Linked DNA regions of Daphnia pulex. The protein of the gene in region 1 purifies or fractionates together with the protein of each later gene. This does not show direct contact. Links are inferred from orthologs where the notes say so. Each region holds a gene or a part of one and is shown on either strand. Other genes may lie near its edges.

The links. The genes of interacting proteins can lie anywhere in the genome.
Region 2: the proteins of mediator of RNA polymerase II transcription subunit 4-like (region 1) and synaptosomal-associated protein 29-like purify together in Homo sapiens (affinity purification with mass spectrometry; 3 studies listed by BioGRID and IntAct, with this or other methods). This does not show direct contact. The link is inferred for Daphnia pulex from reciprocal best matches to the Homo sapiens genes MED4 and SNAP29.
Region 3: the proteins of mediator of RNA polymerase II transcription subunit 4-like (region 1) and DNA-directed RNA polymerase II subunit RPB2 purify together in Homo sapiens (affinity purification with mass spectrometry; 3 studies listed by BioGRID and IntAct, with this or other methods). This does not show direct contact. The link is inferred for Daphnia pulex from reciprocal best matches to the Homo sapiens genes MED4 and POLR2B.

What each region holds. Positions count from the first base shown.
Region 1 is NC_060026.1:12,376,686-12,379,876, reverse strand, and holds mediator of RNA polymerase II transcription subunit 4-like, read left to right. Parts: upstream 1-1,171; 5' UTR 1,172-1,295; coding exon 1,296-1,363; intron 1,364-1,656; coding exon 1,657-1,771; intron 1,772-1,827; coding exon 1,828-1,947; intron 1,948-2,006; coding exon 2,007-2,178; intron 2,179-2,239; coding exon 2,240-2,541; 3' UTR 2,542-2,687; downstream 2,688-3,191. Other genes in the region: beta carbonic anhydrase 1-like, read right to left, coding at 2,888-3,011, 3,073-3,158. UniProt on the Homo sapiens protein: Component of the Mediator complex, a coactivator involved in the regulated transcription of nearly all RNA polymerase II-dependent genes.
Region 2 is NC_060025.1:1,294,159-1,297,287, forward strand, and holds synaptosomal-associated protein 29-like, read left to right. Parts: upstream 1-1,308; 5' UTR 1,309-1,427; coding exon 1,428-1,748; exon of another isoform or gene 1,749-1,820; coding exon 1,821-1,922; exon of another isoform or gene 1,923-1,991; coding exon 1,992-2,417; 3' UTR 2,418-2,613; downstream 2,614-3,129. Other genes in the region: TBC1 domain family member 10A-like, read right to left, coding at 1-207, 278-374, 451-932. UniProt on the Homo sapiens protein: SNAREs, soluble N-ethylmaleimide-sensitive factor-attachment protein receptors, are essential proteins for fusion of cellular membranes.
Region 3 is NC_060022.1:1,081,146-1,085,225, reverse strand, and holds the start of DNA-directed RNA polymerase II subunit RPB2, read right to left. Parts: upstream 2,817-4,080; 5' UTR 2,666-2,816; coding exon 2,647-2,665; intron 2,583-2,646; coding exon 1,097-2,582; intron 1,026-1,096; coding exon 479-1,025; intron 402-478; coding exon 1-401. Other genes in the region: kunitz-type protease inhibitor 1-like, read right to left, coding at 3,085-3,386, 3,480-3,537. UniProt on the Homo sapiens protein: Catalytic core component of RNA polymerase II (Pol II), a DNA-dependent RNA polymerase which synthesizes mRNA precursors and many functional non-coding RNAs using the four ribonucleoside triphosphates as substrates.

The DNA.
Region 1 (3,191 bases):
ATTACTAAACGAGTAAATGTTAGTGGGTTGGAGAATTTTCGAGCAATAAACGTCAACAAATCAACCACTGCAGAAGACACTAGGTAGGTTAGTAACGAAAACGGTTGCCAGATGGCTGTAAAAGCACTCTTGTACGTACTAAAATCTGCTTTCTTGTAAAAAAAATACATTGCGCGGCGCCTGATTACGCATTCAACATTGAAAAATGTTTATTGGTTACAAAAAGCCAGAGTTATAGCTCTGCAAAAAGCGTCAAAGCAAAAATTTCCTCGATTTAAATTAGTGTCGTCCATTTTCATTCAGTTTGAAATCTCCAACGTAACTCGGCTTTTCTACGCCGTTAGCGTACATGGCAACATCATACTTGATTCGATATGGTTTATTGGAACCTTGATTGTAAAATAAGGAAACAGTGATACGAGCTTCTACTTGTTTTCCGGGGTAAAATTTTTCAGAATCCTCAATCATCTTGCGGACTTCAAATTCGAAAGATTTGTAGGCACTGTTGTTGAAATTTTTGTGCATGGGGACGAGATTATTTACGTCCGATCCCGATCCTCCAAGCATTTTGGCAATGATATGCCCGGCATGATAGTCTCCTTCTATACCTAGTTGTTTTTTCTGCTCATTGTTTATGGACACTGTACTTCCATTTCCAAAATTTTCCGACCGAACAACCGCATAAACTTTGCGATACTCGTTCTTCTTCTCCAACCTTAACTTTGACAGACTTGTCATTCGACATTCTTGTAGACAGGAACTGAACCAAGAATCTGTAACACAAAATGTGTTTTAAAGTCCTCATAACTGGAGATTCTAAAGTCGAATTGCTGGACTATATACTCACCCAAGCAAACAAATGAATGTCTTTTCACTCTTTCCGGAGTTTGTTTTTGAGAAATTGCTCGGAAAACTTTGGGCGGGTCAGACGATCAAGAGCGGAACAGCGGATTCCTGCTGTCTGTTTATGTTTACGAAATTCGATTCATAAATCGTCGCCAGTGTTGCATTATTATACACTTCAAACATATCTCATTACTATTATATTTTTTAGTTTCTTTTAACGAAATCACGTTGTAGAGCGGTGATTCGACTCCGAATGAATCCATAAATAAAGGATAAGGAAATTTAAAAAAATACGTGGTCAGGTTAAATCTAGATATGGCAACCTCACTTCTCTAGTTGTTGTTGCAGCCGTAGCCGAGCCGCATTCAAGAAAAACTAATTTTGATTGGAAAGTTTCACTTACCTGTTTTTATAACTATTTCTATAAAAAGGAATAAAAATAACTAGACATGACTTCTCAAAAAAGTACCAGAGAAGTATTGCTTACTTGCATCGACGATATCGAAATCATCGCAAAGTAAGTTTTTCTTGATTTGGCTGCCTTTGTTCGTCGACTATTTTGATCACGTAGTGCAATTGTTCTTCCTTCAAAATTTTTTTAATGAAAGTTAAAGCCTCAGATCTATCTATTGTTCATTAGCATGATATATTTATTTATCTTATTAGGTAATCATACCATTGTTTACCTGAAATTCAGAACACTTTGTCACACTCGTTTGTATCATACACTGTTTTGAATTTGATTATTGAATTTTAATCTTCCAAAATATAATTGTCACTGTACTAAACTTAATCTTTTTAATTTATTAGGGAACTTTTGGACAACTTAATAGCCCAGAAGCAGCAGAAACCTATGAGTACTGAACACTCTCAACTTGTTGAATTGGTTCTTCAAAAAGACACTGATCTTAAGGCAACACTTAAGGTAAAATTATTTGTTTTTCATAATTTTTTTCAATGCTAATTCTTTCTTTTATTAAGTTGGCTGAAGAACAAGGTGTATTACAACAAAAAGTAGTTGCCTTAGAGACAGAAGTTGAAAGGCATGATGTTGAGATTCGAAATCTTCAAAAGCAGCTTAAGGAGGCAGAGCAGCTATTAGTAAGCTATTTTTAATTATTTTGTTGGTTTTAGTATTTCATAAACTTACTCTTTTTCAGGCTACTGCAATCTTTCAAGCTAAGCAAAAGTTGCAATCAATCACACGGGCGAATAACAGACCTGTAAATTCCGAAGAGTTGATAAAATTTGCTCACAGAATATCGGCTTCCAACGCTGTTTGTGCTCCTTTGAATTGGCAGCAAGGAGATTTACGCAGACCATATCCCACGGGTAGAAATTTTTTTTTAAATTGCTGTCCAGTAGTTTCATGTTGTTTTGTGGTGGTTTTCAGATATTGAAATGCGGCTAGGATTTTTGGGCCGTCTTGGTGAAATGAATGTCAATGGACACATGAGTTTTCCAGAACTTTTGCATCGTCCTAATCATTCTTTGCAGCAGGGGTCTTCAGTTCCGAATTCTCAAGCAGGCACTTATAGTTGGTTATCTCAAAATGACCTGCAAATGCCCTGTTTGTCAGTTTCACACTTGGGTGTGAGTGGTGGAATGGATCACAAAAATCCCAAGAAAGAGAATGAAGATGTCGACGTTATGTCTACGGACTCGAGTAGCAGTTCATCTTCCGATTCTCAGTAAACACGTGAGCTAACAATTTACACTCTGTATCCTGCGCGATTGCTTAATATTGTTGGTAACCATCCTGTATACTATTCTACTTTCGCATTTCTTTTTGAAAACCTTCCTCATTCAAAGGTTCGTAAAATAGATAAATATTTGTGCAATTCCTTTTTCGAATTGTTCAAATTCTTTTCCATTATAAAGTTATGCAACAATTTATTTTATAGTTAACTTCTCACTATTTACAAAATAGCTTTAGAATCGAACTCCCCATATAAATTCAGGAGATGTGCGTCATCTCTATAAAAATACCTAGATTTCCATATATTCTTCAGCATAATAACCCGAGGCACGTCGGTTAAGGTCACACAAAGTATTCGCGTATTTCATCGAGCAAATAATCGGATGTCTCTTCGCTTATCTCCACAAACCGTTTTTGCTTGCGGCTAAAGACGTAGATGTCTCCGGTATAGATGTCGAACCATAACCTAGTATCATAAATTTCAACATTAAACACTTACGAGTAAACGTTTGATACATGATACATACGCGTGAAGGTGTACTCGCCCCGAATTTATGGCACTTTGAATGAAGCTATAACTGGCAATATGCTGTAGTTGTTGCAATGTGTTGAGCTGAAAAAAGATAACCCAATTAGATTTGTAGAC
Region 2 (3,129 bases), on another chromosome or scaffold:
ATTGGAATCGGCAAACATCTCGTGCATGGGGAATTGTCGATGTAAATCTTTTCGGATGTCATCCAGCCATTTGGGATCTCCGGGCTGAGCGAGTAGATCGTCGAACACGCCTTTATTCTTTTCCATTAGAACACCACCGCCGCACAAATATTGCCACGCTCTGGGACGGATAGAACTGGGTATTCCTTTCCTACACCTGTCTCTTACCTGTTGATTACAAATAATTGGGTGTTAATAGAAACATGAAAGACAAGAAAAATAAAAGATATTGCCAAACCTTTTTGTATTTGTATGTCATATACTTTTCCCAATCATCTAACATGTTTAACCACTTCAGCTCTCTTTTGCGAAAAATGGCAATCATTGCTGGGTTTCTAAATTGAATTCAAAATAAGCAAATACAATAGTGTTAAACTAATAGGGGATTCAAGGGAAACAAATAAAACTTACATTTCAGTGTCATGACTGAACTGAGATCCTCCAAAGAAACCATATCTGTCGGGGACTGTTGATGCTATTGATCCACCATAAATAACACTGCTGACATCATCATCAACATCGGTTTGATTAAGGGAACCATTCATTGATTGGTTCTTTGTAAGAAGCTGTCTTTCCTGAGATTGGAACTGGGCAATGTCAGGAGCTGATAACACTGCATCATCAACTCCAAGGATCTCTCTGCTGAGCCTGTTTTGTCGTTTTGCTAGCTTCCTATCTCCACTAGGACCCTGTTCACATGAAGGCTGACGGTAGACTGATTCAGAACTAAAGGGTTCTAAATCAATCATATTGATTCGTTCAAGTCTTTCAAGACTTTTTCGAAATGTACGTCTTTCCACAGTTGTTGCACTGCCATCATGGGCTGTTTCGACGTTGCGAAGGAACGGAGATGTTATCACTTGAAGTGATAATGGCTCGTGACGAGTGGCCATTGATTATTTCAAATATTTCGCAATTATTTTATCAGGAAATAAGGCACTCATGATACTGACACGTTCTAAGGACAGTTGCGTGACTTCACACGTAGATATTTTGATCACGGGAAAACAAGTGAAGTAAGTAAGAAGGGCTGCTATGACGAGAAAGAGGTGGGCTGTTCCCTCAGCCTGGTGAAGCCTCGCAACATTCCTTAAATTAGCTAATTTTATTAAATATTACTGATTCATATGAATGAATAATAATAGAGAATTATTTTTTGAAATTTTTAAATGAACTTAAAAATAATAATATGTTTTAATTGATTTGATTTATGTTACTTACAATTTTATTAAATCATTACTTTTGTCGTCGCTAGAGGGAAGACATCAAACCTTGGTTACGACTCTCGGCAGTCTCTTTAAAGGCCTTGACAGCTTCGGAGGGCATGCGAAAGTGAGTGAGCAACAAATAATACATACAAGGAAAAGTGTATTAGTGTCGAAAAAACTATGGCTGGATCCAGTGGGCGTTACGTCAAGTCTAAAGGTTCAAATCCATTTTTTGACGATGAAGACGACGTGGACGACGAAGAATTTCTACAAAGGGCACCCAATAGGTTCAATAACTTTGGAGGAAAATTAGCCAATAGTTTGTCGGGCGGAAATAACAGTTTCCAACCTCTGGACGGAGGAGAAAATCAGAGCGCCGATGAACGTAGACGACAACTTCTTATGGAGAAACAGAAAATAGAAGAACGTACTTTGCAGGCTTCAGGGCGAGCTAAAGGAATGTTGTATGAGACTGAGCAGATTGGAATCTCCACCGCTGAGGTTTGCACATAAGCTTACATTAGAAAACCACTTAAAACTTGATTCATTTTCCCCTTGAAAATACCCAACCAGGACTTGGTAAGGCAGAGGGAACAGTTAGAGAGAACTGGGAGCCGACTGGATGAAATGAATAATTCATTGAGGACTTCAGAGAGACACATACAGAATATCAAGGTAGTCTATCTATATTTTATAGCATTGGTTGGTTGTTTTTTCCTTAACACAGATTTCATTGATTTTTAGAGTGTGTTTAGCAGTATGAAGAACTACTTTTCTAAGCCTTCAGAGCCACTCAAAAACTCTTCTGAAGGGTCTTTGTTAAAGCCTAGTTCCAGTAGTAGTAGTAGCAATCTTTCCAAGGTACTTGAGCAAACATCATCACCGATTGACCGAGACTCACCATCACAGCAACAGCACCCAGCATTGAGGATTAAAGGACTTGAAAATGATTTTAGTCACAAACCTCTTTCCAATGTCGACGAGCAGCTAGAGCAAGATCTGGGTGACATGAGTTTGTCCCTGTCCCGTCTGAAAGGTCTCGCCCAGGGATTGTCGACTGAACTGGAAGATCAGAACACGTTGATCGATCGGTTGCAGACTGGTGCCGACAAGGCTGACTGGAGAATCCAGCGTCAAAATAAAGATATGGAACGTCTTCTGAAAAAGTGAAAACCCCACGAGTCCATGTTGTTTCCAACTTGTGATACACAAAGAATTAGAATTGAATGAAGAAAAAAAAACTCTTTTTGTTTTAAATAAGAAAATCTGTCCCCCTCTTTTTGCGCACCAAGGTAAATTGCCAGCACACTCCCAGTGTGTATATATATTATATATTCATGGAATAATACATTTAGGTGAAACACGGTCTGATAAAAAGAAAGAAAAAAATGATTATTTGCATGAATTCAATTGGGGATAAGTTTACTAGGTATTTTATTAGTATATGAAAATTTTTTCCTGAGAGTGTTTAATCATCCGCAAGGAATTTTGCAGATGTTGTGGAAAGATGAGCGGACGTGGTGATCGTGTTATTGCCTGTTTCACGATTCGATGATCATGAGAACGAAACGAGCCGGACGGTATGAATGGCAATTTTTTTTTTCGTTTTGAGAAACTTGTTTTAGTTGACAAGAACATATCCACACAATGTCCTGATGGGCCAGCTTGTCTTTGCGGATGTCTGCACCAGCTGTTATTACGGTTCATTTGTTGATTTTAGCCGCACACTAAATTGCCATTGTCTTCGTTTGGCGACTGTTTTCTGTTTCCGTTTTACAACAGAAGACCATTGGTCGGAGTTCCAGTTCATACAAACCGCAAACGTAGCACCTTGAAATGTGGAAAAAGGGGAATTGGCCGCACATTTATCACAGTCACAGTC
Region 3 (4,080 bases), on another chromosome or scaffold:
TCTTGATCTTTGTAGGATCGGAAAAAGACGGAGCGGAAGAATCCTCGTTCGACGGCGGAAGCGTTTATGATGACGGAATCCTCCTGGTTGTATCCGGTGTAGCTGAGAATGGCAACAATCGAATTGATGCCGGCGGGCAACTCTCTGAAGCGCAGGTACTCCATGGAGCGTGTCGTGACCAAAGGTTTCTGAGGGTACTGCAGGACGTGGGCCAGAGTGTCCATCCGGACGTGGAAGTTAGTAATGTACACTCCCATGGCTTGTTTACCCATGGCGCTTTGGTAAGTGTTACGAGGCGACTGGTTGTGATCGGGAAACGGAATAATCGAGGCGCAAACTCCCAAAATCATGGCCGGATGAATCTCGCAATGCGTGTACGTCGTACAGTAGGCGTCTTTACCCTGGATAAACAAAGCAAAACATTCAACGGCTGGATGGGGTGGGGTAGGGAAAGAAAAAATCAATGCAGAAAATTTACCTGGCGCAAGTCCTCGGGCGACATGGCAATCATGGCCGTCTCCTCCTCCAAAGTGTCAATGTACTCGACTACACCAGTGGCCACCAGTTCCTGCCAGCTGAAATTGATGTACTCGCGCTGTTTGAGCATGTCAACGTGGCGCTTCTTCAGCAACAATTTGCAGTTCTCGACGATCAACAATGGACGACAAATACGGCCGGCGTCCGTGTAAATTCGAATTTCACGGTCCTGGATGTCGCGCACCATCGATACTTCAGACACGATAATGTCCATCTGACGACGCAGTTTGCGCAGGGTGGCCATCAACTGCTCCGGGTCGCGATGGATACCCACCCAGCAACCGTTGACGAAAATCTTGGTGGCATCCGCAATGGCAGACGGAGCGATTTCTTCCAAGTTCTCCATGGACCACTCTTCCAAAAACTCGAGGATGGGCGACGGTTGGGAACCGACTGAAATGTAGGCCATCAAAGCCAAATTCTTGACGAGACCGACAGCAGCTCCTTCGGGCGTTTCGGCTGGACAAACCATTCCCCACAGCGTGTTGCTAAAATAGTTTTAAAAAATGTTATGTAATAAACAAAAGCCGATGAAAATAATTTGAAATCAATGACTTACTGGAGCTGACGAGGTTTGGCCAGTTTACCGTCACGACCAATGGGCGAATTGAGGCGACGCAAATGTGACAAGGTCGAAGCGAAAGTCAATCGGTTCAACACCTGAGAGACACCAGCGCGGGCCTGATGGGCTTTTTTCTGGTCTCCCCAATTTCCTGTGGCCAACGAGTAACGGAGTCCGTCGGTGATGATGCGGGTCTTAATGGCCAGTTCCAAATTGAAATCTTTTCCTCGATCGATGAATTTCTGTGCGTACATTCGGACTTCTTTCATGAGAGTTTTGAAAAGGGCTCGGAAGAGGAAAGCCATCAACGGTCCGGCGAGATCCAGACGTTTGTTGCCGTAGTGATCACGATCGTCCAGCTCACGGCGTCCCAAGGCAGCCAGCAGCAAGCGATGGACCATGTAGCCGAGGAAATAGGCTTTCTTCGTCTCGCAAAAGTCGGACACACCAACGTGAGGCAACATTTCCTTTTGGAGAATCTCACGGGCGTACTTGATACGCTTCTCTTTGGTGACACCAGGCCTGGCACCGCGAGCACCGATGAAATTCAAGGCAACATTCTGCTCCTGGATGACGAAGGCTTCGTCCAGCGAAGGTTTCACCATTTCCATCATTTCGGGGTCTTCAAAGTCGTAGATGATGTGCTCGAGAATATCTCGATCGGCCACGAAACCTAAGGCTCGGAACACAATCATAATGGGAATTTCTTGCTTAATGTAGGGCAGAATGGCAATGATACGCTGGCCGATGGCGGATTTCTTGATGCCCTGACCACCACGTGCCAACATGTTGACGTACAAGGTGGAGGTTGGACGTGACGAGTGTTCCAAGCAGGAACGAATTTCTGTCTTGTAAGCGAATTTGCCGTCCTTCATGCTGAAGACATACACTGTATTTGTGGCCATCTTCTCTTGAGCAATCAATACTTTTTCTGAGCCGTTGATGATAAAATATCCACCAGGATCGAGAGGGCATTCATTCAATTCACACAAATCACGATCATTCATTCCATTCAGCAGGCAATAAGTGGATCTCAACATGATAGGAATTTTGCCAATGAATGTTTTCTGATGCTGTGTCTCGACCTGCTCTTCCCCTTCTTTGTGCACAGTTTTCGTGATATCAACATACAACGGGGCAGAGTAGGTGAGATTTCTTAGTCTTGCTTCATTAGGCATCATGGCTGTCGGAGCACCATCTTTCTCCCAATGTGTAGGTTTCGAGAGGTAAATCTGCTCAAATTTTAGGACATATCTCGGAGGGTTTTCTACTTCCCCCGAAGAATGCTGGGCTTCTGCCTGAAGGTCAATGGCAGGTGAATCTTCAACAATTCTTTGTACAGACATCTGAATAAATTCATCAAACGAATCAAGCTGTTGTCGCACAAGACCTTTTTCATCGAAATATGCGTTGATGACAATCCAACAGGCTTCTTGCCAAAGCTCTGAAGAGATTTCCTCGCCATCTTCATCCTCGATCGGATCTTAAGTAAAAGACACGTTAGAATGAGAAAAAAATGTATGAATATCATCATATTTTGATGTTACCTTCGTCTTGATCGTACATTGTGTTATTATACGAATCGACAAATTAATTATGAATTAGAAAACGACTGCAATGTAAAGATTCGTTGGCCTTTGCAGCCGGCAGTCGACTTTCGTTCACTGTTGTCGCACTTGTCGGAAAAACTCAATTTCGACATCTGCCGGCCAAATCGAAAATGAGACGCAAGGTGGCGTTGCCGGATATATTTTAATTTCGCCGGTTTATTTAAAAGTCGGTAAAAAAATATTTTCTTTAAAACACGAAACAACTCGTATTGTGTGAGTAAATAAGAAGTGTATTCAAAATTAATTTTAACTGAATAATATAGATTACATTGAAAGACAATCCATGTGATCAATGTAAGAACAATTCTTTAAATTACTTTTTAAAATAAAAGAATAACAACGTTGTGCTAGAGAAAAGCATTTTACATCAATTGATTACTTGCCAAGAACGAAATATCTGAATTTCTGCAACGAGGGATATTGCTGGAAGTCCTCAACGCTCTCGTAGCTGTCGAAATTATCTTGATCACAGCGCAATTCGCAAAGGTCTTCGCTGGCGAATAGATTTTCAGATCCTCCACAGCCAGTGTAGAAAATCTTTTCACAATCCCTGGTAGCAGAGTCGTAGTACCACTTGATGGAAAATTGATTGCAACGCACTTTGGGGTTGAGTGGTGGCAAGAGACAAACCGGATCCAATGGTCGTTGAGCAAATACCGGTACTGGGACCGCCAATTCTATTCAAATATATTCATAAATCGTAAAAGAGCATTGCTTGAAAAAGCCCATGTTACATAAAACTAAAATTTTAGATTTAAAAAATCACTTACGAGGAGCAGCAGAGGAGAAAGCGACGAGGCAGAGCATAACGACGAACGTAGCCGACATTTTCCGGTTGAAGTTTATGGAGTTGAATGGAGCAAATGGGAAAAACCTTCTTCTGCTTTCGACTGAAGAAGGAAGGAGTCGACCGGCTGGTACTTATAGTCCCGCTAGAGATAATTACAGCCCTGCAATCGGGCATTATAGCTGGAAAAAACATGAATTTGACCTTTCGCGATGTAACCAAAATAAAAATAACCGCTTAATCATTCACCCCTAAAGGAAGAGAAAAGAGAAAAGCGCGCATCGCAAAAGAATTAAACACACACATATCGATAACCGGTTTGTACAGTTCATCATCTTGATCATTGTCTTCCTTTGAAAAATATATGCACGACATGATTGCACAATTATTTATTTAGCTCCGGGCTCTTTATATCAGAATTTCAAATGTACTTACTTAAACATAAGCTCGGAATTATAGAGAGAATTCGAATTGGCTTCGAATTTTATGTTTTCCGTTTTATTTGTATAATTTATATTGATTTGATTCATTTATTGAATTAAATTAAATTTTAATTGTAAACCAACTTGATTATATTAAAACTG